Linked DNA regions of Macaca mulatta. Each later gene encodes a partner of the first gene's protein in a complex. Links are inferred from orthologs where the notes say so. Each region holds a gene or a part of one and is shown in the gene's direction. Other genes may lie near its edges. The genes, in order: PAK4, LIMK1, ITGB5 and INKA1.

Region 1 (7,038 bases):
GGGCCAGGCCCTCCGTGCTCTGTGTTCTCCGTAATTCCTTGTAAAAACTCCAGTAAGGCCAGGCGCGGGGGCTCACCCCTGTAATCCCAGCACTTTGGGATGCCGAGGAGGGCAGATCACTAGACGTCAGGAGTTCGAGACCAGCCTGGCCAACATGGTGAAACCCCATCTCTACTAAAAGTACAAAAATTAGCTGGGCGTGCTGGCAGGCAACTGTTAATCTCAGCTACTCGGGAGGCTGAGGCAGGAGAATTGCGTGAACCCGGGAGGCAGAGGTTGCAGTGAGCTGAGATCACGCCACTGCACTCCAGCCTGGGCAACAGAGCGAGACTCCATTTAAAAAAAAAATAAATAAATACTCCAGGAAGCAGCTACTGTCATCGCCATCTTTGAACAGAGGAGGAAACTGAGGCACAGCATGGCTGAGTTGCTCACTCGGGACCACATATTGAGGTCCCCAGGTTGGGTTAGATCCCCAATTCACAGACACAGAAAGTGAAGTCACACAGGGCAGGTCATAGCAGCCCTGCTGGGGTTTGGAGCCCTGGGCAGCCTGACTGCCAAGCTCGGAGCTGGCCCGGGAGCCCAGCCCCCACCCTTCCTTCCCTGCACCTGGGCAAGCCCAGCCTTTCTGCCTAGCTCTTCTCCCTCTTCCCAGGCCTGGCACGGCCTCTGTGGCCCCCGCGAGATCAGGAGCTTATGTTGGGAAGGGAGCGCCTGCTGGGGAAGCCAGCAGGGCTTGGAGCTGCCCAGGAGGGCCCAGGGTGGGGCCCCTGCCTAGTCATTATAAACATGTTCAGTTCCTCTGTTTGTCCTGCCCTCTTTGCAGTGCCCAGAGGAAAGGGGTGGCCCCAGGCAAATATCCGGAGGCGTGCCCCCTGCCCCCTTCCCTTGGGGGTTTATGGGTGGGAGGGCAGGAGGCCAGGCTTCGGAGGACATACCCCAGACCCCGTGCTGCTAGCTGGGTCAGCTGCCGGCCTTCCAGGCTTCTCCTGCCCTGTCCCCAGGCGTCCGCCACCTCCGGGTCTGCCCTGCTCTCCGCCCTCTGGGCTTAGTGAGGGTCACATGGCTGATCCTGTTCCTGTGACTGTGGGAACAGCCTAGTGCCCCGCAGTGGGGAGGGAGCGGGATGGGCGGGGTGACAGGTTCACGATGAAGAGTCACGGGCTGGGCATGGGGCCAAAGGGGGTGGAGGGACATCTGGGAGGATAGAGAAGCCAGAGGACATGGGACACAGCTCTGGAGTGACAGCAGGCAGAGTGGGGAGATGGGGACTGTTGGGGTATGTGGATGACCCTAGGAACTGGGCCTAGAAAGCAGCGAGAGAGTAGGTCAGGGCCACCAGGGATGGGCCGGGCTGGAAGGCCACGAGGGAGGGCTGGGCAGCACTCAGGGCACCAGCATTGGGCTCGGAGAAGGGGCTGGGCAGACACAAAGGAGGCCCCCTGCCCGCCCTGCATCCTGGGCCCCAGGGCAAGCAGGGAAACTGGGCCAACCCTAGGAGCCTTGGCCAGGCCGGCTCTGACCACCCGCTGGCCTCTTGGGACCAGTTGAGACAGGTTGACTGCCGGGTCCCCACCCGCCTCCCACGGGGTTCCCGCTGCCAAACCGGTTCCCCTGGCTGGCTCCCATCGATGGTCCTAGCTCTGGCCAGGGCCTCACCTTTCCTGGCTGCTCCCATGAAGGCAGCCTGAGCTGGGCGGAGAAGCAGGTGTGGAGGGGCCGCATGCATCTGCGGATCCTCTGTCCTCTCACTAGGACCACAGGACTCTCTGGGCTGCGCACTGTGCCAGGCTCTGGGGAGCCAGCTGGGAACAAGACAGAAGAGAAACTCCACCTGTGTGTCCCCCCGTCCTCTGGTCTCAACTGTTCCCCTCTTCCGGGAAGCCTCCCTACTGCCCACCCCACTGTCCTTCCAGGCTGGGTCCCGTGCTCCCGTCCCCCAGCCCTGCACCTGGGCTGCTGCTGCGCGGGGACAGGTCTGTCTGCCCCACACGAACTTCCCATGAGGTCAGAGGCTGTCCGGGCCGCTGCGGTGGCCGCAGAGGAGGCCCATTGCTGAGTTATTCCTCAGTGAATGAGTGAATGAGTGAATGAGAGAATGAGTGAACGGATGCATTCCTCTCATTTTACAGATGAGTAACCCGAAGCCTCTAGAGGAGTGGTCACCCGCCTGAGGGCACTTCTGTCCCACCAGCATCAGACCAGGTGTGTGCAACTCCAGGGCCCAGGCCTGGGACAGCTGGGGTGGGGCCTTCCGGGGGAGCAGGAATTGGGCCCCTCCTCCCAGAGACACTGTGGGAGCCGCCCCGGCCATCACAGTGGCCCCCACCGACAGGCCCCCCGCGTTTGCCCAGCCCTGCACCAAGCTCTTGGCTCCCAGTCACCCATGGCCCCTCGCAGCAGCCCTGTGGGGGTTCATCCACGGCACACAGAGGTTGTCACTTGCCCAAGGTCACGGCAGCATGTGGTGGAGAGTCAAACTCTGGCCGCCTGGCTCCTCTTCCCATCTTTCTCCGGGCTGTCTATGAGATGCCGCCATCAGCATGTCTCCGCCTCAGCCCCTTTGTTTTTTAAAGTGGCTTTGGTCGAGCGTTTGCTCTGTGCTTGGTACTATGGCAAGGGCCGGACTGAAGACCACAGATCCTGAAGATAGGGGAGTGTCGTGGCAAGGCTACCTGGGTGCCCTCTTACCCCAGGGGCTCAGTAACCCTGTGCTGAGTCAATATCCAACGGTGTGTGCGTCCCCAGCCCAGACTCAGGGCTGGACCAGCGGCGGTGGCTGTGGCCAGGCCAGCAGTGACCGTCCATTGAGTACACACCGTGTACCAGGCATAGCGGGGGATGTGGGGAAGCGGGGCAGATGAGACCTGGCCAGAAGGCAGCACTGACATTCTAGCGAGTGGTGTGGATGCTGCCCTCGGCAACCTAAGACGGAACAACAGACAGGATTTCTGGGCTGTGACGGTGATGTAGAGCGGGGACGGCGGGACACGAGGCTGCTTGCCTTGGGGTGGTCAGGGAAAGAGTCACTGCTGCTCTGAGAACTGAAGGAGGAGACGGGGAGCCCGTGCGGACACTGGAAGTGAGCTCCTGGCAGGGGGGCCAGCCTGTGCAAAGGCCCTGAGATATCCAGGGGGTGAGAACAGAGAGGTGATGGGGGCTTGTGGGCCCGCGGGAGACATAGCGGCAGGAAAGTTCTGAGCAGAGGGACATGGCGGCTCAGGTGCTCACGGGTGCCCTCTGGCTGCGTGTGCCACACAGATGGGGGCAGGGGCTGAGCAGGGAGACCCCGAAGGAGGCACCTGCCTCCTGTTGGTTCCGGTGGAAGATGAGATTGGAAGGGACAGGGCAGGGGCAGAGGAGGAAGAGACACAGGCAGGCTCTCACCCACCCACCACGATTCCCTCCCGCAGGCCGCACCGAGCCGCCCGGAATCATGTTTGGGAAGAGGAAGAAGCGGGTGGAGATCTCCGCGCCGTCCAACTTCGAGCACCGCGTGCACACGGGCTTCGACCAGCATGAGCAGAAGTTCACGGGGCTGCCCCGCCAGTGGCAGAGCCTGATCGAGGAGTCGGCTCGCCGGCCAAAGCCCCTCATCGACCCCGCCTGCATCACCTCCATCCAGCCCGGGGCCCCCAAGGTATGCGGCAGCCACCACTACCTCCCCCAGCCCACCCCCACCCCTGAGTGACCCCAGCCCTCAACCCCACACTCGACCCTATGACTGACACCTCCTCACTGACATGGAAACAGACACACCCCAGCCTTCAACCCTGATCCTGGGCCCAGCGCTGGCCTTTCACCCTCCACCCACTGGCTCCAAGTTCTGAGAACCCATGCCACCCCAACCTGAGCCCCCATGGCCCATCTGGCAGCCCCCACACCAGCCTCCAAGCTCTGCTGTCTCCCGGCCACCCCTACCCCGGGGGCCATGCTGCTGTGCCCCAGACCACACTCCCATCACATTCTTGAGCCTTTCCAGAGCTCGTGGCAGTGGGAGACAGACCCATTCCCAGAGGGTGACAGCCCCGAGTGGTCAGGGCTTGGATGGGGAAGCCCGGAGGAGGCACCTGACCCAGACCAGGGCTCCAGGCGAGCTTCTGGGAGGAGGGGACAGCAAGGCGGAGCCCAGAGCTGAGGAGGAGGAGGAGGAGTTCCAGCAGGCGCTGGGGAAGCCGGGCTTTAGTGGGGGAAATCACGCCTGTGAAACACAGGCTTTTTGATTTTGGGTTTTTTTTTCCTGCCATCTAGAGCAAAATGGCAAGATTGGGATTTGAACCAATGTCTGTTTCCAAGGCCCATGCCCTTACCCCCTCTCCTGCCTCCATGTGAAATGGTGAGAGTTGTGGAGCCGGTGTCTGGGTGTGGCCTTGCACGAGGCTGGCCTGGCCTGAGCCCCTGCTGAGCCTCAGAAGCCAGCCTTGGAGCCTGGACTCTCTCCCGTGGTCAGTGGGGACCGGGAGGGGCCGCAGGCCAGGGGGAGCTCGGCCAGGTTTGCTTCCAGCGGGTGGAGATGGGTGTGCCTGGGGACTCACCCTTCCGGGTGCCCAGCCCGGCCTGGCGGGGAGGAGCCCCAAGGGCCCACAAGTTGGCCGTAGACACAAGTGCAGCTCAGTGTGGTGGCCCACTGAGGGTTCCATGTGGCCCACACAGGACGCTTTTGAATGCTTTGACTTCTTTGCCACCACTGAAAAAGTGACAGACCACTTCCGAGGCCGTTTCTGGCATCTGGTGACAGACCAGCTGGAGCCGAGTGGCAGTGGCCTCTGCAGGCCGGGTACTGGCTCTTCTGGGCCGCAGGCCACACCCAACCCGCCTCAGCTCCACGCCCTGCCTGGCTCTGTGGCCAGTTGCATGTAGGCTTTGACCCACATCAAGGTGTCTCCAAAAACCCAGCTCCTGCCTGGCTCGCCAGATGTGAGGCCTGCCTGTGGCGGTCCCACCAGGAGGCAGGACACCTGAATTCACACACAGGGCCTCGTGGCCGGCACTGTCCTGGGGCCCCATGGGCGCTTGTGTTTGCTGCCCTTGTCTGGACCTCAGGCCTTCCAGGGCCCTCTCAACCCCCTGTGTTTTTTTGTTTGTTTCTTTGTTTTTGTTTTTGTTGTTTTTTTTTTGAGACACATTCCTGCTGTCTCCCCGGCTGGAGTGCAATGGCGCCATCTTGGCTAGCTGCAACCTCCACCTCCTGGGTTCAAGTGACTTTCCTGCCTCAAGTGATTTTCCTCCCAAGTAGCTGGGATTACAGCTGCCCACCACCATGCCCAGCTAGTTTTTGTCTTTTCTGTAGAGATGGGTTTTCGCCATGTTGGCCAGGCTCGTCTCAAACTCCTGACCTCAGGTGATCCTTGGTCTCCAGGTGCTGGGATTATAGGCGTGAGCCACCGCTCCTAGCCTCAATTCCCGGTTCTAAAAGCAAAGACTGGCCTAGTGTCCACCTTGCTTTCCTGGGGCCCCTGGGCAAGGCCCGGCTTCAGGCAGACAGCCACGGCCAGGAGAGGCAGGGCAGCGGCAGACCACGGGTTTGTGGCGTCAGTGTTTTCTGCACATTAGAGGCAGGCCTCCGGCTGGAGGATATCTGAACCCCGGGCAGGGTCCCTGTCAGCAGGGCCCACGTTCTCAGCTCACCGTGGCCTCTGCACAGCCGCCTCACTGACTCCGCGGTTTAGCAAAAGTTCACGGAGCCCCTGCTGTGTGCCAGATGCTGGTCTAGGTGCTGAGATGTAGCAGGACCTGAAGCAGACAGGAAAAAACCATCCCTGCCCAGAGCCTGCACTGGGCAGAGCCGGGAGCAGACAGATGCCTGTGTGCCCTATATCAGCTGCTGTCAGGCGCTCTGGGTAGAATGCAGGCAGGGCAGGGGCTGGCATTTTAGATGATGGGTGGCCAGCGGAAGCCTCATTGAGAAGCTGAGTTTTGAGTGAAGACCTGAAGGAGTGGAGGGAGGGAGCCACGGTGACCCTGAGAGCTGATGTTCCGGGCAGAGAGAGCAGCCAGCAGAGGCCCTGGGCGGGGGTGTGGTGGGGAGACACCCGTGTGCCTGGAAATGGGGCGGGGACAGAGGGGCCCTGCAGGACACGACTCAGACCACGGAGGGTGGGGACAGGGTGACTTGGGACGCACTGGACGCTCTGCCTGGTCCCCACCTGCGTTTGTATTTGCCACCCGGCTCCTGGGACCCCCTTGCCCTGTACTTTGGGACCAGGCCTTTCTGACCCTCCCTGTCCCCCACCCCTTGTTGTTCATGGGAGCAGAGTGTGGTTTTGGGGCTAAGGAGCACTGGCGCCCACAGGGGAGGAAGTGCCAGGCCAGGCCAGGCCCCAGCTCCCTGTCATTTGCAGTCCTCGGGGCCGATTATGGGATGGGGATGGGTTGGCTTCTGCCCTCCCTCCCCCAACCCCACAGGGCAGGACTATTCTGCCAGTGTGGGGAACAGGAGAAGAACAAAGGGTGCCTCCCCAGGGTCCCACCCAGCCCAGGGGGCAGCAGCCTGGCCATGGGGATCACTCCTCCGGTCTCTGCAGCCGCGTCCCCAGGGAGGGGAGGGGCCGTACCACCCATGCCATTGTCACTCCATGGCATCTCTTCATTGCGTCTCCGTCTTGTCTCTGTGTGTGTCGTGCTGTCCCGTCCCCGCGTGTCGGATGCACGTCCTGTGTGCCCCACTCCTTGCTGGGCCCCCACCCACCATTGACTGGGACCCCAGACCATCGTGCGGGGCAGCAAAGGTGCCAAGGATGGGGCACTCACGCTGCTGCTGGATGAGTTTGAGAACATGTCGGTGACACGCTCCAACTCCCTGCGGAGAGACAGCCCGCCGCCGCCCGCCCGTGCCCGCCAGGAAAATGGGATGCCGGAGGAGCCGGCCACCACGGCCAGAGGGGGCCCGGGGAAGGCAGGCAGCCAAGGCCGGATCGCCAGTCACAGCGAGGCGGGTGGCGGCAGTGGTGACAGGCGACGGGTGGGGCCAGAGAAGAGGCCCAAGTCTTCCAGGGAGGGCTCAGGGGGGCCCCAGGAGCCCTCCCGGGACAAACG
Region 2 (6,668 bases), on another chromosome or scaffold:
TGCACCACTGCACTCTAACCTGGGTGACAGAGCAAGACTGTCTCAAAAAAAAAAAAACAACCCCACCTGTAATCCCAGCACTTTAGGAGGCCAAGGTGGGCGGATCACGAGGTCAAGAGATCGATACCATCCTGGCCAACATGGTGAAACCTCATCTCTACTAAAAATACAAAAAACATTAGCTGGGCATGGTGGCACACATCTATAGTCCCAGCTACCCGGGAGGCTGAGGAAGGAGAATTGCTTGAACCCGGCAGGTGGAGGTTGCAGTGATTCAAGATCGCGCCACCGTACTCCAGCCTGATGGCAGAGTGGGACTCTGTCTCAAAAACACACACACACACACACACACACACACACAAACATAGTTAACATAGCCCCCAAAGAAGACTATAAAACAGTCTTAGTTCCCAGGCACAGTGGCTCACGCTTGTAATCCCAGCACTCTGGGAGGCCGCAGCAGGCAGATCACGAGGTCAGGAGTTTGAGACCAGCCTGGCCAACACGGTGAAACCCCATCTCTACTAAAAATACAAAAATTAGCTGGGCATAGTGGCGGGCGCCTGTAATCCCAGCTACTCTGGAGGCTGAGGCAGGAGAATTGCTTGAACCCAGGAGGCAGAGATTGCAGTGAGCCGAGATCGTGCCATTGCACTCCAGCCTGGGCAACAAAGTAAGACTCTCTCAAAAAAACAAAACAGTCTTAGTGTTTCCTATCTGTAGGGATTGGTGTGAGGATTAAAGGTTGTAAACTCATTTCCACCTAGTTGGCATTCAGTAAATGAGAGTTGGTATTCAGTACTAATTGTTTTGGGTATTTCGTTTTTTGTTTTTGAGATGGAGCCTTGCTATGTTGCCCAGGCTGGAGTACAGCGATGTGATCTCAGCTCACTGCAACCTCCACCTCCCGGGTTCAAGTGATTCTCCTGCCTCAGTTTCCTAAGTACCTGACATTACAGGCACCTGCCACCATGCCTGGCTAATTGTTGTGTTTTTAGTAGAGATGGGGTTTCACCATGTTGGCCAGGCTGGTCTCAAACTCCTGACCTCAGGTGATCCGCCCGCCGCAGCCTCCCAAAGTGCTGGGATTACAGGTGTGAGCCACTGCACCCGGCCATGTACCAATTGTTTTTAACATCATTAAGCAACTGGTATCATTCCCATTTTACAGATAAGGAAACAGGCTCAGAGAGTCCATGTCAGTTCCCTGAGGCTGCTGTAATAAATTGTTAGAAACTTGATTATTTAAAACAGCAGAAAATGGTCAGGCATGGTGACTCACACCTGTGATCCCAGCACTTTGGGAGGCCGAGGCAGGTGGATCACTTGAGGTCAGGAGTTCGAGACCAGCCTGGCCAACATGGTGAAATGCCACCTCTACTAAAAATACAGAAATTAGCCGGGCGTGGTGGCAGACACCTGTAATCCCAGCTACTCGGGAAATTGAGGCAGGAGAATCGCTTGAACCCAGGAGGCCGAGGTTGCAGTGAGCCACAATCATGCCACTGCACTCTAGCTTGGGCGACAAAGCAAGACTACATCTCAAAATAAAATAAACAGCAGAGGCCAGGCGCGGTGGCTCCAGCCTGTAATCCCAGCACTTTGGGAGGCCGAGACGGGCGGATCACAAGGTCAGGAGATCGAGACCATCCTGGCTAATACGGTGAAACCCCGTCTCTACTAAAAATACAAAAAACTAGCCGGGCGAGGTGGCGGGCGCCTGTAGTCCCAGCTACTCGGGAGGCTGAGACAGGAGAATGGCGTAAACCCAGGAGGCGGAGCTTGCAGTGAGCTGAGATCTGGCCACTGCACTCCAGCCTGGGCGACAGAGCCAGACTCCATCTCAAAAAAAATAAATAAATAAACAGCAGAAATGTATTCCCTCATAGTTTTGGAAGCCAGAAGGTTGAAATCCAACAGGGCTGCACTCCCTCCAGGGGGATCTAGGGGAGAATGCATTCCTTGCTTCTTCCACTTTCTGGTGGTTTTGTATTCCTGGGCTTGTGGCCGCATCATTCCAGTCTCTACCCCCGTCTTCACAGGGCCACCTCTTCCTCTTCTGCTGTGTCTTCTCTGTATCTCTCTCAAGAGGGCATTTGCAGTGGCATTTGGGGCCCATCCAGATCATCCAGCATCATCTCATCTCCAGATCCTTAACTTAATCCCATCTGCAAAAGACCCTTTTTCTGATCCAGTAACATTCACGGATTCCAGAGACCTGACATGGTTGCCTTTTAGGACCAGCACAGAGTTCATGACCTGCCCAAAGTCACGCAGCTGATCGGTGCCTAGAACTCCTTGTCCAGGCCTCTGCCCCTTGCTCCTCAGAGCTCCCAAAGGCTTGCTCAGACCTGGTGGGGTTGGGGGAAAGAGCCTAAGCCTGGGTTCCCAAGGAGGTTGCCGGCATCTGCCTCCTGGGCCTGGACCTCCCGACCGGGGCATCCTCCCAGCTGGCCCGGTCCCCTGCCTTTTGGCATCCCTGGCACCCCCATGTGTTCATCTGTTGACAGTCGGTCTCTTTGTCCAGGCCGCAGCTATGATGAGAAGGTGGATGTGTTCTCCTTTGGGATCGTCCTGTGCGAGGTAGGTCCAGGGGTGTTGAAGCCTGGGCTCCTCCCCACTCACCCAGGCTGCAGGCTCAGCATCTGCAGGGGCTTCAGGCCAGGAAGGCTGCCCACAGCAAGGCATGGGCTGGCCCCCATGAGGTACCGCAGTCAGGCTGCAGCCAGGCCTGGTGCCACCTGCCCTCAAGCCACCTGGATGGCACCCAGACGCCCAGGCTGAGGGCCCCCCTGGAGTAACTGCTGGGCCTTGTGCTGGACAGATCATCGGGCGGGTGAACGCAGACCCCGACTACCTGCCCCGCACCATGGACTTTGGCCTCAACGTACGAGGCTTCCTGGACCGCTACTGCCCTGCAAACTGCCCCCCGAGCTTCTTCCCCATCACCGTGCGCTGTTGCGATCTGGACCCCGAGAAGAGGTGAGTGGGGTGGGGCCCTGGCCTGGGGGACGGCGGGGCCAATTCCTGGGAGAGCCAGACCCACCTTTCCCCACCCGCCTGTCACCCAGGCCGTCCTTCGTGAAGCTGGAACACTGGCTGGAGACCCTCCGCATGCACCTGGCCGGCCACCTGCCACTGGGCCCGCAGCTGGAGCAGCTGGACAGGGGTTTCTGGGAGACCTACCGGCGCGGCGAGAGCGGACTGCCTGCCCACCCTGAGGTCCCCGACTGAGCCAGGGCCACTCAGCCGCCCCTGTCCCCACCTCCAGGGAATCCACCCCCACCAGATTCCTCCACGGGAGGTGGCCCTCAACTGGGACAGTGGGGGCCCAGGCTTCTCCTCAGAGCCAGGTCCTGACTTGCCTTCTCCCACCCCGTGGACCGCTTCCCCTGCCTTCTCTCTGCCGTGGCCCGGAACCGGCCAAGCTGCACACACACACCATGCCCTCGCCCTGCTGTAACCTCTGTCTTGGCAGGGCTGTCCCCTCTCGCTTCTCCTTGCATGAGCTGGAGGGCGTGTGTGAGCTGTGCCCCTTTCCACAGGCTGCTGCCCCAGCCACCCTGTGCACGCTCCACCTGTCTGGTCCGTAGCTCCCTGGAGGCTGGGCCAGGAGGCAGCCTCTGAACCATGCCCCATGTAATGCTTGGGTGCATGGGCGGGCGCACGTCAGGGCAGAGGCCAAGTTCCCAGGTGTCTGTGTTCCCAGGAACCAAACGGGGAGTCTGGGGCCCGTTTTCCCCCCAGGGGGTGTCTAGGTAGCAACAGGTATCGAGGACTCTCCAAACCCCCAAAGCAGAGAGAGGGCTGATCCCATGGGGTGGAGGTCCCCGATGGCTGAGCAAACAGCCCCTTCTCCCGCTTTGGGTCTTTTTTGGGTCTTTTTTGTTTCTTTCTCAAAGCCACTTTAGTGAGAAGCAGGTACCAAGCCTCAGGGTGAAGGGGGTCCATTGAGGGAGCTGCAGTGCCTGGGCCAGAGCTGATGGGCAGGAGCCGGCTCGGGCAGCGAGAGGATAGGCACAGTGGACGGGGCAGGTGTCCACCAGCAGCTCAACCCCTGCAGTCATCTCAGAGCCCCTTCCCGGGCCTCTACCCCGAGGCTCCCTGCCCCTCCTCATGCCCCTCTGTCCTCTGCGTTTTCTCTGTGTAATCTATTTTTTAAGAAGAGTTTGTATTATTTTTTCATACGGCTGCAGCAGCAGCTGCCAGGGGCTTGGGGTTTTATTTTTGTGGCGGGCGGGGGTGGGAGGGCCATTTTGTCACTTTGCCTCAGTTGAGCATCTAGAAGTATTAAAACTGTGAAGCTTTCTCAGTGCACTTTGAACCTGGAAAACAATCCCGACAGGCCCGTGGGACCATGACTTAGGGAGGTGGGACCCACCCACCCCCATCCAGGAACCGTGACGTCCAAGGAACCAAACCCAGACGCAGAACAATAAAATAAATTCCGTACTCCCCACCCAGGTCCTGCGTGGCGATGTGTGTCTGGGGCCCTGGGGAAACAGTCAAGATAAGAGGAGTTAGTCTTCCCTGATGAGAAGACAAGGATGTGTTTGGTGGCTCATGCCTGTAATCCCAGCACTCCAGGAGGCTGAGACAGGACGATCCCTTACGCCCAGGAGTTCAAGACCAGTCTGGACAACATAGTGAGATCCTGTCTCTACAAAAAATTTTTTTAAATTAGTTGGGCAGGGGCCAGGTGTGGTGGCTCACGCCTGTAATCCCAGCACTTTGGGAGGCCGAGGCAGGTGGATCAGCTGAAGTCAGGAGTTTGAGACCAGCTTGGTCAACGTGGTGAAAACTCGTCTCTACTAAAAATACAATTAGGCCGGGCTCGGTGGCTCACGCCTGTAATCCCAGCACTTTGGGAGGCCGAGGCGGGTGGATCACGAGGTCAGGAGTTCGAGACCAGCCTGGCTAACATGGTGAAACCCTGTCTCTACTAAACAAAGTACAAAAAAATTAGCCGGGCATGATGGCAGATACCTGTAGTCCCAGCTACTCTGGAGGCTGAGGCAGGAGAATGGCGTGAACCTGGGAGGCAGAGCTTACAGTGAGCGGAGATCGCGCCACTGTACTCCAGCCTGGGCGGCAGAGTGAGACTCTGTCTCAAAAAAAAAAAAAAGTGTGTGTATATATATATATATATACACACACACACATATATATGTACAAAAATTAGCTGGGCGTGGTAGCACATGGCTGTAGTCCTAGCTACTTGGGAGACAGACAGGAGAATCGCTTGAACACAAAAGGCAGAGGTTGCAGTGAGCAAAGATGGTGCCATTGCACTCCAGCCTGGGCAACAGAGTGAGACTTTGTCTTCAAAAAAATAGTAATAATAATAATTGGGCAAGCCAGACACAGTGGCTCACGCCTGTAATCCCAGCACTCTGGGAGGCCGAGGCAGGAGGATCACCTGAGGTCAGGAGTTTGAGACCAGCCTGGCCAACATAATGAAACCCCATCTCTGCTAACAATACAAAATTAGCCAGGTGCGGTGGCACATGCCTGAAATCCCAGCTACTTGGGAAGCTGAGGCAGGAGAATTGCTTGAACCCAGGAGGCAGAGGTTGCAGTGCGCCAAGATCGCATCATTGCACCCCAGCCTGGGCAACAAAAGTGAAACTCCATCTCAAAAAATAATAATAATTAGTTGGGCATGGTAGCATGCACCTATAGTCTCAGCTATTCAGGAGGCTGAGGTGGGAGGATCATTTGAGTCCAAGAGATCAAGGCTGCAGTGAGCCATGTTTACACCACTGCACTCCAGCCTGGGCAACAAAACAAGATCCTGTCTCAAAAAAAAAAAAAAAAAAAAGCAGGTATGGAGGGGGGAAGAGAGCACAGCTCAGTTTTAGGTGGAGCTTCACAGGCGGGCCAAGTGAAGATTCTTCAAAAGCTGGGTTTTGGAGGGCCGCGCATATTCAGGAGGTACTGCTTTCGTACTTAATGTTTTCTTGTAAAACTAAAGAGCCCTGGCCAGGCACGGTGGTTCACGCCTGTAATCCCAACACTTTGGGAGGCCGAGGTGGGCGGATCATCTGAGGTCAGGGGTTCAAGACCAGCTTGACCAACATAGAGAAACCCTGTCTCTACTAAAAATTTTTTAAAAATTAGCCAGGTGCTGTGGTGCATGCCTGTAATCCCAGCTACTCGGGAGGCTGAGGTAGGAGAATCGCTTGAACCTGGAAGGAGGAAGTTGCAGTGAGCTGAGATCGCACCATTGCACTTCAGCCTGGGCAACAAGAGCGAAACTCCATCTTAAACAAAACAAAACTAAAGGGTCCTATCGAGAAGATGGGCTGCACATGATGGCTCACACCTATAATCCCAGCGCTTTAGGAGGCCAAGGTGGAAGGATCACTTGAGGCCAGGAGTTCAAGATCAGCCTGGGCAACATAGCAAGACCCTGTTTTTACCCCAAAAATAAAAAAATTATCGAGATGCTGTGGTGTGTGCCTGTAGTACCAGCTACTGAGAGGCTGAGGGAGGAGGATCGCTTGAGCCTGGGAGGTCAAGGCTGCAGTGAGCTGTGATCATACCACTGCACTCCAGCCTGAATGACACAGCAAGACCTTGTCTCAAAAATAAAAAAATTTAAAAACACACTACGTATTGCAAATATAGGGCATTTAATTTGTGGTTTTTTTTTTTTGTTTCTGTTT
Region 3 (7,038 bases), on another chromosome or scaffold:
TGCTCTGAGATGTGGCTGCCGGCAAGTCAGGTGTAGACTCGCTGGGCAGGAGTGAGGCCATCTTTGCTCTAGTGCCTCTAAACACACAAAGAATCTATCCAAATTTCAAGTATGTATAGATGGTTCTACTGCAGGGTAAATAGGACATCTCTTGGCACTCCTGAAAGGTTAATGAGCCCAAGGCAGATATGAGTTGAACTGAGCCTTAAAGTTCGTTCTAAGTGATTTGTTTTTAGAAATTATGAAATGATTTCAAGATCATTATCCTGGCCTGGGTCTTCCAGTTATTGCCCTGACTTGAGCCTCTCTTTGAACTCTATAGAGTGAGACAGCAAAGACCACACCTGCCAGACACTGGCTTTTTTCTTTGTTCTTTTCTTCTGAATTAATTCCGCTTTTCTCTGCCTGTCGGCTACCTTATTGTAGCTGGTAGACAAATCTAGTGCTATCTTTTCTCTTCTCGTTTTCTTTTTTCGATAGAGCTAAAATTTGGAATCTGTCTTCCTGTATTTATATCTGTAGTTTCTGATGATAATGAGTTGTACCTGTGATGTCCCGAAACATCAAATATGCCCCCCAAAGTAAATACTAGTCTGGTAAATGGTGAGGGAAATAGAAACAAAAACAGGTGACGTGGCATAGGCATGCATATTTTTGCCCATCGGGGTATTTTATTTATTTATTTATTTATTTGAGACGGAGTCTCGCTCTGCCGCCCAGGCTGGAGTGCAGTGGCTGGATCTCAGCTTACTGCAAGCTCCGCCTCCCAGGTTTACGCCATTCTCCTGCCTCAGCCTCCCGAGTAGCTGGGACTACAGGCGCCCGCCACCTCGCCCGGCTAGTTTTTTGTATTTTTTTAGTAGAGATGGGGTTTCACCGTGTTAGCCAGGATGGTCTCGATCTCCTGACCTCATGATCCGCCCGTCTCGGCCTCCCAAAGTGCTGGGACTACAGGCTTGAGCCACTGCGCCCGGCCCATTGGGGTATTTTAAACAACCATCTTTGTTTCTCTGTCCTCCCTTGCCTTGCACATCTCTCTCCCCAGCTTGGTTCTTCCCCACTCAGGCTCTTTTGTTCATTTCTTCCCTGCTTTTTGTTTCAAACACACATTCCCATCGTGGCTGGGTCTTTCTCTGGAGTTGGTGTGTGGTTGGTGGGCTATTCTCCACCTAGTTTGTGTTCATGAAATTGTCTGGTTCACGGTCCACTGATTACCCAAGGGTCCTTGTTGCTGAGTAGACAGAACACCACCAAGGAGCCTGGCTGTTAGGGAGTTTCCTTAGAAATGCTAAGCCCAGGCCAAGTGTGGTGGCTGACACCTGTAATCCCAGCATTTTGGGAGGCTGAGGTAGGTGGATCACTTGAGGCTAGGAGTTTGATACCAGCCTGGTCAACATGGTGAAACCCCGTCTTTACTAAAAATGCAAAAATTAGCCAGGCATGGTGGTGGGTACCTGTAATCCCAGCTACTCAGGAGGTTGAGGCATGAGAATCACTCGAACCTGGGAGGCGGAGGTTGCATGAGCCAAGATTGCCCCACAGCACTCCAGCCTGGGTGACAGAGCAACACTCTGTCTTAAAAAAATAAAATAAAATAAAAAAATAAATGCTAAGCCGAGTGTTTGGGAAGGAGAAACCAGGCCTCCATTCTCAGCACCGTATTCCCTTCAGGCACTTTACTTCCAAGAAAAATCTTCTGGGAGGCACACAATCACTAAAGAAAAGTAAGAGGTGAACTAGCTTTGAAAGCAAATCCCACCCCTCAGCCCTTAGCAGGTTGCATGACCTCTAACACGGGTGGCCTCTCTGTTGGTGCAGGTGACAAGACCACCTTCCAGCTACAGGTTCGCCAGGTAGAGGACTATCCTGTGGACCTGTACTACCTGATGGACCTCTCCCTGTCCATGAAGGATGACTTGGACACTATCCGGAACCTGGGCACCAAACTCGCGGAGGAGATGAGGAAGCTCACCAGCAACTTCCGGTTGGGATTTGGGTCTTTTGTCGATAAGGACATCTCTCCTTTCTCCTACACGGCACCGAGGTACCAGACCAATCCATGCATTGGGTAAGCGACCATTTGCCCTTCTGTTGGGTACTTAAGGGTGGGAGAATGGAGTAGCAGGAAAATTTAGCTCAAAGAAAGAATTAAGGAAGGCATGGTTAGGAGGGGTGGCCAGGCTTAGGTGTTTAATTTGATTAACGATAGGCATACATTCTCTCCTTTCCTGACCTGTCAAGAAGTGAGTGAACTGTCACAAGGTTGTAAAGATAAAATGATCACAACCCCTTGATTATCCTGCCTGCCATGCACAGCACCACTTGCTCACATTAATAGAACTCAGAAAATGTCCTCAGGGAGTGATGAATCCAGATTATCAGGGAGGCAGCAGGCAGGGCAACTTAAACTTTCCCCTTGCTTGTAGTAACTGAGGTGCCTGGGGAGAAATGAATTCAAAATTTGTCCCTGTTGTTTTTCTATAAATAACTATAACTTATTTTCACATAATTAGACTAAAATCCTATTTTAAAGGTAAGCATTTTTTTTTCAACATAAACACCTGAACTAGAAAAGATTTGACATATTATTAGAAAACAGGTGTCTCTAACTGCTGCAACAGAGTCTATAATAACAAGGTGTATAATTTGATGGAAGTTTATTTCCTGCTCCTCAAGTCCAGCTGGGTCTCTTCATTTGTGGAACTTCTCCTGCAAGCAGTGACTCAGGGACCTAGGTGCCTTCCATCTTCCAGGCTTTCCATCTTCCACACATGGCTCCTAAGGTCATGCTGCCTAGAGGGTCATGCATAGGAGGATAGGCCTTTGCCATGCCTGCTCCCACATGTGATTAGACGGAACAGAACTGAGCCAGGAGGCTGAGAACTAGTATAGCTCTATGCCCAGGAATCAGAAGAAATAGGATTATTGAGCAGGTCTCTGCCATGGGGTGTTTGTGTGCATGTTGGGGGTGGTGGTTGTATGAGGGGATTGCATTCTTCAGCCCATGAAACACAACCTCTACTAGATTGGTTTCTTTCCTTTTTAGTCTTTCAGGAGTTCCTTTAAATGTCAAGATTATGCAAGTGACTGCAGTGAGTGGTAACTTCCAACTCTTGCTTTCCTTGTCTCCGTATTTAACTTTAGTGAGGGTTTGTGTTGTAAGGTCCAAAACTAGTCATGAGATAGGGAACAACTAAGACTTAAGTTTTTACTAAGTGTCAAGCCCTTACTAAATATTTTCTATAGATTATCTCATTTAAATCTCATAACAATCTGGTGAGTTTTCTAAGGTAGGTATAAGCCAGATGTTAAAGATGCAGACACTGAGGCCTAGAGAGAATAACTTACCCAATATTATACAAACAGCAAGGGATAGAGCTGGAATATGAATACAGACTACTTTTTTAATTTTAATTTTTATTTTTATTTTTTTATTTTTTTGAGACGGAGTCTGGCTCTGTCACCCAGGCTGGAGTGCGGTGGCCGGATCTCAGCTCACTGCAAGCTCCGCCTCCCGGGTTTACGCCATTCTCCTGCCTCAGCCTCCCGAGTAGCTGGGACTACAGGCGCCACCACCTCGCCCGGCTAGTTTTTTGTATTTTTTAGTAGAGACGGGGTTTCACCGTGTTAGCCAGGATGGCCTCGATCTCCTGACCTCGTGATCCGCCCGCCTCGGCCTCCCAAAGTGCTGGGATTACAGGCTTGAGCCACCGCGCCCGGCCCAGACTACTTTTATAGTCTGCATTTGCTTTTTTTTTTTTTTTTTTTTTGAGACAGAGTCTTACTCTGTTGCCCAAGCTGGAGTGCAGTAGCGCGATCTCAGCTCCCTGCAACCTCTACCTCAGCCTCCTGAGTAGCTGGGATTACAGGTGCATGCCACCACACCTGGCTGATTTTTGTATTTTTAGTAGAGATGGGGTTTTACCATGTTGGCCAGGCTGGTCTTGAACTCCTGACCTCAGATGATCCACCCACCTTGGCCTCCCAAAGTGTCGGGATTACAGGCATGAGCCACTGCACCCGGCCTGCATTTGCATTTAATATAATGCCTTCTTCCCCATTAAAATCACACTACAACACAGATACTTTACCTTAGGCTGAGTAATAATACCTGCTCCAAAACCACCCTACCCCAATCTCCTAGGCTTACCTGAGGATAATGGTAGGCTATGTGGCAGTAATGTACAGTCTCCAAATCTCAGTGGCTGAACACAGTGAAAGTTTTTGTTTTTTTTTTCTTGTGCAAAATCTGATGAGGGCTGAGCTGCTTTCCTTGCAAGCTCTGCGTGCAGTAACTCGGGGATGCAGCTCCTTCCATCTTGTGATGCCACTCTCAATTCTTGGTCTTCCAGCTGCCACCAACGGAAGAGAAAACCCCTGAGCCCTTCCCTCTCCACAAGTCCTCTTTGGTAGCCTTCAGAGCTGCCAGCTCCAAGTTGGGCTGGGTGGTGGGAGTGAGTTAGTGTGCTGGTGGCATGGGCTCTTCTGAGTCCCTCCGGATCCTTCTGTACATCTCCTAGAAGCTGACTTAGATCTTCTCCAGGGATTGGGAACTGACACTGGTAGAAAAACAGTAAGACAAGAAAAAGTTTTAAATACAAATGAAACTCTAAATTCTTTAACCACGAAGAGGCACTAGGCATCATCATTTGCTGGGTTTAGCTTCCTCCTGGCGACAGGTGTCCACAGGGACTATTATTACTTTGATCCTATCTCCAAGGCCCTTTTCAACTAAGTCCGGGTGCCAAATGTTTTTTGTTGAAATTTTACTACTTACCAGGAGCAACAGCATCTTAACGGCAAGCCTTAATCAAGCCTTTTTTCAATTCATCTGGAATAGTGATTTTATTTGCTTCTTTTCACCTCTGTCCTAATTGGGCCCTGTCTCCAGACAGATAGGGTGTGTCCCCACTTTCATTCTTCCACGGCCCTTCCACTGACTGAGACACTAGATTGGAAGCTGGCAGAGAATCAAGGGCTGGCTCTAGGCGCACAGCATTTAAATATTCAAAGTTATGACACATTACTTATTCAGAGCTTACTCTCTCAGTCCTCTAAGGCAGAACCCGTTGCAGACAGTAAAACTCTTGACAGTGAGTACAAGGCACACTGAAAAGCTGCTTGTAAGGCAGGAAGTCCAGTGAAGAACGAGAGTGTGGAAGGAAACCTCGGGCCTGAGTTATGTGAAGCTCTCTTCTCTGAGCTGGGGCGCACACGCAGTGCAGGGGCACACTGTGGCGTGGTGAGCAGGCTGAGCTTTGTCTCCCCAAGTCCAGGCAGCACGGCATCCTGTGCCTCCTGGGTTCAAATGATTCTCCTGCCTCAGCCTCCCGAGTAGCTGGGATTACAGGCACATGCCACCATACCCAGCTAATTTTTGTATTTTTTAGTAGAGATGGGGTTTCACCATGTTGGCCAGGCTGTCTTGAACTCCTGACCTCAGGCGATCTACCTGCCTCGGCCTCCCAAAGTGCTGGGATTACAGGGGTGAGCCACCGCGCCCGACCTAAAGTATTTTAAATTATTCTGTTTCTGTTTCTTGAATTGTGGATCCTTCAGGTGGATCCACAGCAGGTCAGTGTATTGGACCTGCTGACATGCCTTCATGAATTGTTTTTCATGCAATTTGTAAGCTTTTCATTAGTACATCTTCACTGGAGGTTGTGGGGGCATCCCTGCAGAGCAGTTTTATGTTTGCTGCTGTCGAGAATCTCCAGGTTCACCGTGGGACTAGTTTTTCTGTTAACTTTTCAACTGGAGATGTCTTCACCATAAAGGCAGTGTATTCCAGTTGCTCAGGCCTGGAATTACAGTTTTTATGGGTAATTCATCTCATTCGTGACAGACGGTCAGCTTCCGTGCCGCTTTCCCGGACCAGTAGCTGGAGTTTTTCTGTTTCTGGTTTTAGTGGCACAGCAGCTCATTGTAGTGTTGGGCTTTATGCAGAGAGCCCTATTCCAGTGTTCAGCCCTGTGCAGGAGTGATGCTCAGCATCTCTTCCTGGTAGACCCTGCTCCAAGCCTGCAGGGCCTCAGTCAAGGCCTGACGCATTGCAGGGGTCCTTGGCATGAGTGCCTACCCATTTCCTACCTTTTTTTTTTTTTTTTTTTTTTGAGACTGAGTCTCGCTCTGCTGCTCAGGCTGGAGTGCAGTGGCACGATCTCAGCTCACTGCAACCTCCACCTCCTGGGTTCAAGTGATTCTTCTGCCTCAGACTCCTGAGTAGCTGGGATTATAGGCGCCTGCCACCACGCCCAGCTAATTTTTGTATTTTTAGTAGAGATGGGGTTTCACTGTGTTGGCCAGGCTGGTCTTGAACTCCTGACCTCAAGTGAATCGCCTCAGCCTCCCAAAGTGCTGAGATGACAGGCGTGAGCCACTGCACCCGGCCCCCACCTATTCTTTTAAGTCCATTCATTTGTTTTTTGGGTTTTTTTTTTTTATATTTTTAAATTTTATTTTGTTTTATTTTATTTTATTTTTTCCAAAACCAAATACTTCTGAAAGTTTCATTCATTTATTGAATGGGTTCCTCTTCATTTCTGGGATTTACTTTCTGAGCTTCCAGTCTAGGCTATATATTAAAAATTTTTAAATTACATTTTATCCAGCAGTTCTATATGGTTAGCATTAGAAGAAGCAGATAAGGTGTTTTCATTCCTGTTCCATGACATGAGAGCCTTTCCATGCCAGCTTGATCCATGATAGTCTCCTGAGGCATTAGATTGTTTTCTGGATTTGCCTAGGTCTGGTGTCTTCAAATTGGATTCGCTCTTTATACATACAGACACTCCCTTGGCTTTTTAACCATATATATTTTATTTTTTATCTCCCTTGTTAATAATCCTTAATTTAGTAACTGTGTGCGTGGTGCTTATTTGGGGTCTCACAGCACAGACACACGAGAGGGGTGGTATAGTCTCCTGGTATGACCCCAAAACATCTGGATCTTCAGGCCACTCAGACAGCTGTTCTGGGGTTAAGTCAGATAACTCATCACAAGTGACATCCGATTCCAGTGTCAATGGAGACACTGCT
Region 4 (7,273 bases), on another chromosome or scaffold:
CTTGAGCTCGGGAGTTCGATATCAGCCTGGGCAACAAAGTGAGACCCCATCTTTACAAAAAATTAGTTGGGTGTGGTGATCCAGGCCTGTAGTCCCAGCTACTTAGGAGGCTGAGGTAAAAGGACCGCTTGAACCCAAGAGATCAAGGCTGCAGTGAGCCATGATTATGCCACTGTACTCCAACCTGAGTGACAGAGCAAGACCCTGTCTCAAAAAAAAAAAAAAAAAAAAAGCTGTCTACATCCAATAAGCAAAAGGAATCCTTTATGATAGAAATACAAATACTGGTTACCGTTGGGAATATCAATTGGATAGGGCACCAGATGGCATCCAGGAGTTGCTGAGGATGTTCTATACCTTTATCTGGGTGGCAGCTGCACAAGTATCTACAGATTTTAACATTTATTGAGCTATAACTCTGAGATCTGTCCATTTATTGTATTTGTATGTCATTTTTTAAAGTTTTCTGGCCAGGCACAGTAGCTTATGCCTGTAGGGGAGGCCAAGGCAGGAGGATCATCTGAGATCAGGAGTTCGAGACCAGCCTGTACAACATGGTGAAACCCTGTCTCTTAAAAAAAAAAAAAAAAAAAAAAATTAGCTGGGTGTGGTGGCACATGCCTGTAGTCCCAGTTACTTGAGAGGCTGAGATAGGAGGGTCACTTGAGCAAAGAGATCGAGGCTGCAGTGAGCCAAGATTATGCCACTGCACTTCAGCCTGGGCGACAGAGTGAGGCCTTGTCTCAAAAAAAAAAAAAAAAAAAAAAAAAAAACGGTTGTCTTTATTTGCCGTCTCCAGTTCTTCAGCCCTCACTCTCTTCTCCACACACTCTAATCAGGTTTGTCCCTCTCTACATAAAACTGCCCTTGTCAGGGTTCCCAATGACCTATGCACTGCCGAATCCAGTGGTTTGTTCTTCACCCTCACTGCCTCGGCAGCATTCAATGCTTGCTCCCCTTGGCTCCTGAGTCCCCACATTCTCAGATTTCTCCTGGTTGTTTCTGCTCAGCTTCTTTGATAGTTCTGCTTCATATCTCCCCTACCTCCACCTCGTGGAATGTCCCAGGGCACAGTCCTGATTGCTGTCTCCCTCTACACTCATTTCCTCCCACCCCACCTCATCCAGGCCTATGGCCTTACATACCATCCTTTCACTCACTATTCCTCCCAGATCCAAGGCTCCAGTGCTGATCTCTGTCCTGAAGTCCAGAGTCATACACCTAGCAGCTGACTCTGCAACTCCTCTTGGATGTCTATCAGGCATCTCAAGGATTACATGTCCATAAATGATCATTGGATTTTCCTCTCCAAATCCACTCTTCTCCAGTCTTTCCCAGATCAGTTTATGGCAATTTCATCCAACCAGCTGTTAATGCCAGAAATGTAGGAGTCATGCTTGATGCCTCTTTTCCTGCCCACATCCATGCATCAGCAAGACTTGATTTTAGCTCCAAAGCATACCCCAAAGTGACCCCCCTTCAGTGCACCTGCCCTGCCCAGGCCTAGGCCCTCCCCTTCGTTGCCTGGATGACGGCAGGGGCTTCCACTCTTATTGCAGAATCCTTTTCTGAAAGCAGCTGGGATTATCTAAACAAGAGCTAGCCCAGGTCATTCCTGCTCAGAGGCCCCCATTGCTCCTCATCACACCAAGAACAAAACCCACATTCTGCTCTAAGGCCGTTAGAGCCTGGTTTTGCTGACCTTTTCCCTTCTGCCGCCACCACCAATCACAGACACCTGGGCCTTCTTTATGTTTGGCCCTGTCCAGCTCCTGTCCCTCGGGGTCTTTTCCCTGGCTGCTCCTTCTGCCTAGAATGCCCCTCCTCTTGATTGCATCCTGATGTCACCTCCTCTGAGATTGCCCTTCCCCAGGCTAGCCCATGGCCCTCATTCCCTGGTATTTTCCTGTAGCTGGTATGTCCAGTCTGTCTGCAGCTACACTACTCTTGAGCCTAGCCTGTTTGATAGAGCAACCTCAGGAGACAGGCTCACCCCAGCACCCACCCTCAGTCTGCACCTGGTACCGGCAGAGGGCATGCCGATGGTCGCGGGTCGCCGCTGGACTCGCGACTAGCCGAGCACTCCCCACTAGAGGGCAGTCCCGTCTAGCTCGGTTGGAACGCGGCTGAGGCCCCGCCAGTGCGCTGCCACAAAGTCCCACCCTCTCTGAGTCCTCAGGCCGAACCCCACTTCCATCCTGTTCAGGGAGTGCCGAGGCCAGCCTCAGGAATGGGTCCCGTGGGTCAGGCCCCGAGTGGGCCACAACCTCTCTGGGTCCGACCATACGGGGCGCTCTGCCTATGTGCGGGCGCAGCATGACGCCCCGTTAGAGGGACCGCTATTTCACCATTGAACAAATGGGGAGGATGAGGCCCCCGCACGGAGGCGACCTGTCCTGCGTCACGCAGCAAATGCAGGGTCCACACAACCATCTGGGGGCTTGGGTATCCCGGGCCCGACCCCGTCCGGCTTCCAGCTACGACCCCGCCCTTCCCCCAAGAACGGCGGCGGAGTCCGGAGGGACGCCGGGTTTTAGCCCCTCCCCCTTTGGCCGTGGGGCCGGGGCGGGGCGCGGCTGCCAGATGTCGGGGCGGCGGCGGCGGGAGCTACGGAGAGCGAGGAGCCGCGCAGCCAGGCGGAGGCTGAGGGCGCCGCTGGCCGGCCCGCCCAGCCCTCTCCGCGCGGCTCCGCCGGGGTTCCCAGAGGAGCCAGCAGGCTCAGTTGGGGCCCCGGCACGGACATGCACAGCGCTCGGCTTGACAGCTTCCTCAGCCAGCTCCGCTGGGAACTGGTGAGGCTCGGGAGCGGGTGCGGTTAGGGAGGACGCGTGCGGGGTGCCAGGCTGCTGCCCGGCCGGAACAGCAGACGGGTGCGGGGTGGCTGCAGCGTGCCCGTCCGAGGCGGGATGGGGGCGGCGCGGGGTGGGGGCGGCGCGGCTCATATGGCTCAGATGGTCCGCGTCGGATTTCGGAGGGTTGGGAACTGCGCTGAGCATCAGATAACAGCATCCAGCTGGCCGTGCTGCTGGAACGGCGCGGGAGGAGAGAGTGGAAGGGGAACTTCTTTGGGGGTGGGGCATGGGGCGGCAAGGGACTAACGAGGTGCTAGCACTGCGGTGAACGCCCCGTACTTCAGGCTGGCCTATGCCTCCCTTCTCCACCCCTCACCTAGCAAGCGCTCTTTCTGTGAAAAACGCTTTGGGCTTTGGGAGCTGAATCCCCCTCCAGTCCTGGGCAGGACCTACTTCCCTGCTCAGGCCCACAACACTGCCTGCCCGCCCGCCCGCCCTGGTGGCGGGTGTCGACTTGCCCAGCCCTGCGTGCTGCAGCCTGCCGGACTGCCACCAGGTCGGTGAATGAGAACCACACCAGCTTCGAGTGCCAGCACCCCATGCCTGCCCTGTGCTCACTAGCACCCTGCTGCCCAGGCCAGCAGGCCTATCTAACCCTCCTGGACCCTCTGTACTCTGGGCTGACCTGGTGACAAGTGATACCTCTCTGACTTCTGCCCTCTCTTCCCCTCAGTTGTGTGGTCGGGACACAGGCTCACCCCCGATGCCTGGTCCCCTGCAGCCAACCCCCCAAACTGGCCCAGATGTGCAGCCCCGCCACCAGCTTAGGGCCTCAGGTGCTTTGGAAGAAGACTCAGTCTGCTGTGTGGAGGAGGAGGAAGAAGAGGCAGTGGTGACAGAAGACAGGGGTGCAGCCTTGGGAGGCCCCAGGGAGCATGCCCTGGACTGGGACTCTGGCTTCTCGGAGGTGTCAGGCAGCACATGGCGAGAGGAAGAACTACCTGTTCCCCAGCGCCCAGCACCCTCAGCACAGCCCCTTCGTAGGCAGCGCCTCTCAGTCAGTGGCCTCCCCATGCCCAGCAGGGCCCCTGTAGCCAGTGTACCACCTGTCCACCGTCCACGGCCCAAGTCCACCCCAGACGCCTGCCTGGAGCACTGGCAGGGACTGGAAGCAGAGGACTGGACAGCAGCCCTACTGAATAGGGGTCGCAGTCGCCAGCCCCTGGTACTGGGGGACAATTGCTTTGCTGACTTGGTGCACAACTGGATGGAGCTGCCTGAGACAGGGAGTGAAGGAGGTGATGGAGGTGGGCACCGTGCCCATGCTCGGCCCCCTCAGTTCCTGCTTGGCCTCTCCGAGCAGCTTCGGCGCCGGCTGGCCAGGGCTCGGCGGACAGCTATGGCAGGAAAGCGGCTGTCATGCCCACCTCGCCCAGAACCTGAAATGCCTGCGGATGTCTCACGCTTCGCAGCCCTCATGAGCTGCCGTAGTCGCCAGCCCATCATCTGCAATGATGTCAGCTACCTCTGACCCTGCCCTCCAGCCTGGGACAATAAAAGCCTTATTTCTAGACTGTCCTGGCTTCATACCCCTGAGGCACTAAGAGGCAGCCCCAGCCCTGTGAGGCACTGCCCAGGCAGACAAATCTGAAGAGCTTTTTGTCTCTGTGTGAAGGTCCCTGTCATGCCCATGTCACACCTGTGTGCATTAGTGCACTGTGTTCTATCATCCATCCTCTCCACTATGCCTTCCTTCAACAAGCATTTATTGAGTGCCTACTGTGGGCTTACAATGCAGTGCTTGGGATCCAGGGCTCCATTGAGCTAGGTGATGGGGTGGCTGCCTTGTCACAGCTCATAGTGCAGAGGTGGAAAGGCAGTGTCTTCCTCTTCACCCTCACAGCTCAGCTCCAGCACCAACACCCGCAGCCCAGGAGCAAGTACCTGGCCTGTCACCTGCTGAACCAGTTCTGTCACCCTAGTGGGGGTGGGGTTTAGGGGAGATTGGAGAGGTGAGCAGTGGCAGGCAGTGGGCAGCCTGGCATGGACTAGAGAGGGTGCTGGCAGGCCATCAGGAGCCCAAGCCAGGAGCAAGAGCTACTCAAGACAGGAAACATCTGAAACTATTTTAGGAGCAGCTGGTGAGGCAAGCAGGAGGCAGGAAGCTATGGGTCCCTTGGGAGTGGGCTGTGAAAGGGGGGCTGTGCAGCGTGTGGGGAGCCCATGGGGCTGGCCAAGTAGGCAGCTCCTGAAGACTCCTCCTCAGGCTCTCGGCCCTCACCCCACCTCCAGCCTTTTTTGCTGGCTCCATTTGGCAAAAGAATGCTTGGGAAGATGTGAGGAGCCCAGAATGGGGCTGGGAAGACAGAAGGCTGTGTGGCCCCTAGCCCCAGCCTCCAGGGACTGGTGGGGCCTGTCTAAAGCCCCAGGTGGGCTCACCTGAGGGGCAGGCGCAGGGCCTGCTTTTCAGGCGACCATCCGGCGGAATAGAGCAGGGCTGGGCCGTGCAGCAGCATCCTCACCCTCAACCCGTGCTGCTCCTAGAGGGAGAAAGGTCAGACACCAGCTGGGCCGGGCTGGGCTGAGCCTGGGCGTTGGGGTAGGGACAGGGCACACCTGAAGATGAGCCAGCAGCAACTCCAGGGTCCTCTCAGGCTGCCCAGCTGGTACCTTCAGACGGTCCCAACAGGTCCACTTCAGGTGATGGAACTGGAATGAGGTAGAGGAGGAGTGAGAGACTTCTTACCTACCCCCAACCCCCATCCCAGTTACCAGCAGCCTTTCCTAGGGGAAGAGCTGGACTAGCAGGAAGCAGGAGCCAAGGGGTGGAGGGTGGGGGGGAGGTGGGATCTGGGCCCAGAGTCTCAGCCCCCTCCCCGCCCAGGCTGGGGCCAGCACAGGAAATGGGGCTATGGGGCCCGCACAGGGAAACAGACGATCCATCACACGGGCCAGTCGTGAGGGTGGGGGATGAGGGGGTGGTGCTTCCTGAGGAAACCCACAGCAGGGCCCCTGCAGCCTCTGATAAAGCTGCTTGTTCCTCAGAGACAAGGCTGGGAGCTGAGGGGCACATCCTGTCCCCCAATCTTATATGTATTGCCAGTGCCTTGGGCTACTCATTGGGACACGGGCAAAGGCCACAGTGACCACCAGGGCCCCACTGTCCCAGAGACCCCAGCAGGGATACAATGCATACAGGCTTCCTCCTCCTGTCCCCTCTTTCCTTCCAAGAGTCTTGGGGTTCTGGTACCTAGAGCTAAGGACAGAAGGGCAGCTAGCAGGTATCTAGAGACAAGGACAGGGGGTGCCTATCAGCCCCCAAGAAAACACTGGGGTCAAGCTGAGACTAGGCTAGAGGTGAGATGGGGGCTTCTCCTTGCCCTGCTCCACTCCGTGGACAAAGGCAGCCTGTGTGCTGGTTAGGGGCAGGGTGCCTTAACAAAGGGGCTCTGTGTACTATGTCCAGAGGGACCCCAGGCTGCTGAGCAGAAGCCCAGTGCTGGCCCATGACCTCTGCCCTCTCCCCTCGTGAGGGCATTCCTTCTACCCCCATCCTTGCCCCAAGGAAATGCCAGCTGCAGAGCCTGAGCACATGGCTGGAGGCATTCACAGCCCTGCAGTCACAAGAACACAAATCCCCACAAGCCCAGGAACACACACGTGTGCCCACATGTATCTCCATGCAGACCCACATTGAGGACACAGGAAGATGGAAACCCTGCACTCCCATCTGACACACAGATGTGCAAACTTGCTCCTTCCATACCCACACTCCAGGGATACCCAGACCCCGGGTGCACTCACACCTGTGACACAAACACAGGGCTGCAGACACCACACCTCTAGTGGCAAGCCTATTACCCTTTAACTCAGCTTGCAGGAGGTAGGCCAGGGCCCCTGTACCATGCAGGGGGAAGCTAGACTCTTTCTGGGGCTGAGGCCCTGGTCCCCTCCCCCCCACCTACCCCTCAGGGGTACTCCAAGGAAGGAGGGGACTGTAGGGGATGTCTGGCTCCACTAATGAGTTAAAGCTGCAGCTCCCCCAGATCCTGGGCTTTGGAGGGTTGGGGGTGGGGATGGCTGACGGCTGCTTCCTGTGTCTGACGGGTCCCAGCCTGGCTTCATAGCAGGAAGAAGGCTGGAGGGAGTCTTCAGGACTCCTGCACAGTCTGAGTCTCAGTGAGAGCTGGCAGCTAGATTGGGGCCTGTGTGGGCAGGTGCAGGGGAAACCTAGGCCTAGTGGGGCTAAGGGTGGGGTATCATGGGCTCACCGTCTGGATGGCTGGGGCGAAAGGCATATAGCGGATGAGGTAGTTTTCAGCCAGATGGACGTAGCTGTGGCGAAAGGCACTACGAGGCCGTGGCCCACCCACCACCTTATACAGCTCTAGGCCCAACAGGCCTGCCACGGCTGCTGTAGTGGTGGCAATGGCTGGGATAATCTGGCCCACAATTCGCTTACTCTGCCAAGAACAAGAGAT

The links.
Region 2: the proteins of PAK4 (region 1) and LIMK1 are in contact, whole or in part, in a crystal structure (PDB 6WLY), measured with the Homo sapiens proteins. The link is inferred for Macaca mulatta from reciprocal best matches to the Homo sapiens genes PAK4 and LIMK1. Residues at the interface, in NP_001014831.1 of Homo sapiens: Glu329, Gly330, Ser331, Gln358, Arg359, Leu362, Thr404, Asp440, Lys442, Ser443, Asp444, Phe461, Leu475, Val476, Gly477, Thr478, Pro479, Tyr480, Trp481, Met482, Glu507, Phe516, Pro520; in NP_002305.1 of Homo sapiens: Lys505, Arg506, Tyr507, Thr508, Val509, Val510, Gly511.
Region 3: the proteins of PAK4 (region 1) and ITGB5 are in contact, whole or in part, in a crystal structure (PDB 7S46), measured with the Homo sapiens proteins. The link is inferred for Macaca mulatta from reciprocal best matches to the Homo sapiens genes PAK4 and ITGB5. Residues at the interface, in NP_001014831.1 of Homo sapiens: Gly330, Ser331, Gln358, Arg359, Leu362, Thr404, Lys442, Ser443, Asp444, Asp458, Phe461, Leu475, Val476, Gly477, Thr478, Pro479, Tyr480, Trp481, Met482, Glu507, Glu512, Phe516, Asn517, Glu518, Pro519, Pro520, Met524; in NP_002204.2 of Homo sapiens: Ser762, Arg763, Ala764, Arg765, Tyr766, Glu767, Met768, Ala769, Ser770.
Region 4: the proteins of PAK4 (region 1) and INKA1 are in contact, whole or in part, in a crystal structure (PDB 4XBU), measured with the Homo sapiens proteins. The link is inferred for Macaca mulatta from reciprocal best matches to the Homo sapiens genes PAK4 and INKA1. Residues at the interface, in NP_001014831.1 of Homo sapiens: Ser331, Gln358, Arg359, Glu361, Leu362, Thr404, Asp440, Lys442, Ser443, Asp444, Phe461, Leu475, Val476, Gly477, Thr478, Pro479, Tyr480, Trp481, Met482, Arg489, Glu507, Glu512, Phe516, Asn517, Glu518, Pro519, Pro520, Met524; in NP_976248.2 of Homo sapiens: Gly178, Arg179, Ser180, Arg181, Gln182, Pro183, Leu184, Val185, Leu186, Gly187, Asp188, Asn189, Cys190.

What each region holds. Positions count from the first base shown.
Region 1 is NC_133424.1:50,256,731-50,263,768, forward strand, and holds part of PAK4 (serine/threonine-protein kinase PAK 4), read left to right. Parts: intron 1-1,203; exon of another isoform or gene 1,204-1,282; intron 1,283-2,135; 5' UTR 2,136-2,208; intron 2,209-3,416; 5' UTR 3,417-3,439; coding exon 3,440-3,643; intron 3,644-6,709; coding exon 6,710-7,038. UniProt on the Homo sapiens protein: Serine/threonine-protein kinase that plays a role in a variety of different signaling pathways including cytoskeleton regulation, cell adhesion turnover, cell migration, growth, proliferation or cell survival.
Region 2 is NC_133408.1:51,624,581-51,631,248, forward strand, and holds the end of LIMK1 (LIM domain kinase 1), read left to right. Parts: intron 1-2,527; coding exon 2,528-2,583; intron 2,584-2,824; coding exon 2,825-2,982; intron 2,983-3,071; coding exon 3,072-3,234; 3' UTR 3,235-4,463; downstream 4,464-6,668. UniProt on the Homo sapiens protein: Serine/threonine-protein kinase that plays an essential role in the regulation of actin filament dynamics. Acts downstream of several Rho family GTPase signal transduction pathways.
Region 3 is NC_133407.1:158,910,228-158,917,265, forward strand, and holds part of ITGB5 (integrin beta-5 precursor), read left to right. Parts: intron 1-1,818; coding exon 1,819-2,068; intron 2,069-7,038.
Region 4 is NC_133407.1:113,276,101-113,283,373, forward strand, and holds INKA1 (PAK4-inhibitor INKA1), read left to right. Parts: upstream 1-2,539; 5' UTR 2,540-2,566; intron 2,567-2,611; exon of another isoform or gene 2,612-2,634; 5' UTR 2,635-2,741; coding exon 2,742-2,792; intron 2,793-3,525; coding exon 3,526-4,323; 3' UTR 4,324-4,366; downstream 4,367-7,273. Other genes in the region: UBA7 (ubiquitin-like modifier-activating enzyme 7), read right to left, coding at 4,641-4,770, 5,232-5,332, 5,409-5,501, 7,064-7,255. UniProt on the Homo sapiens protein: Inhibitor of the serine/threonine-protein kinase PAK4. Acts by binding PAK4 in a substrate-like manner, inhibiting the protein kinase activity.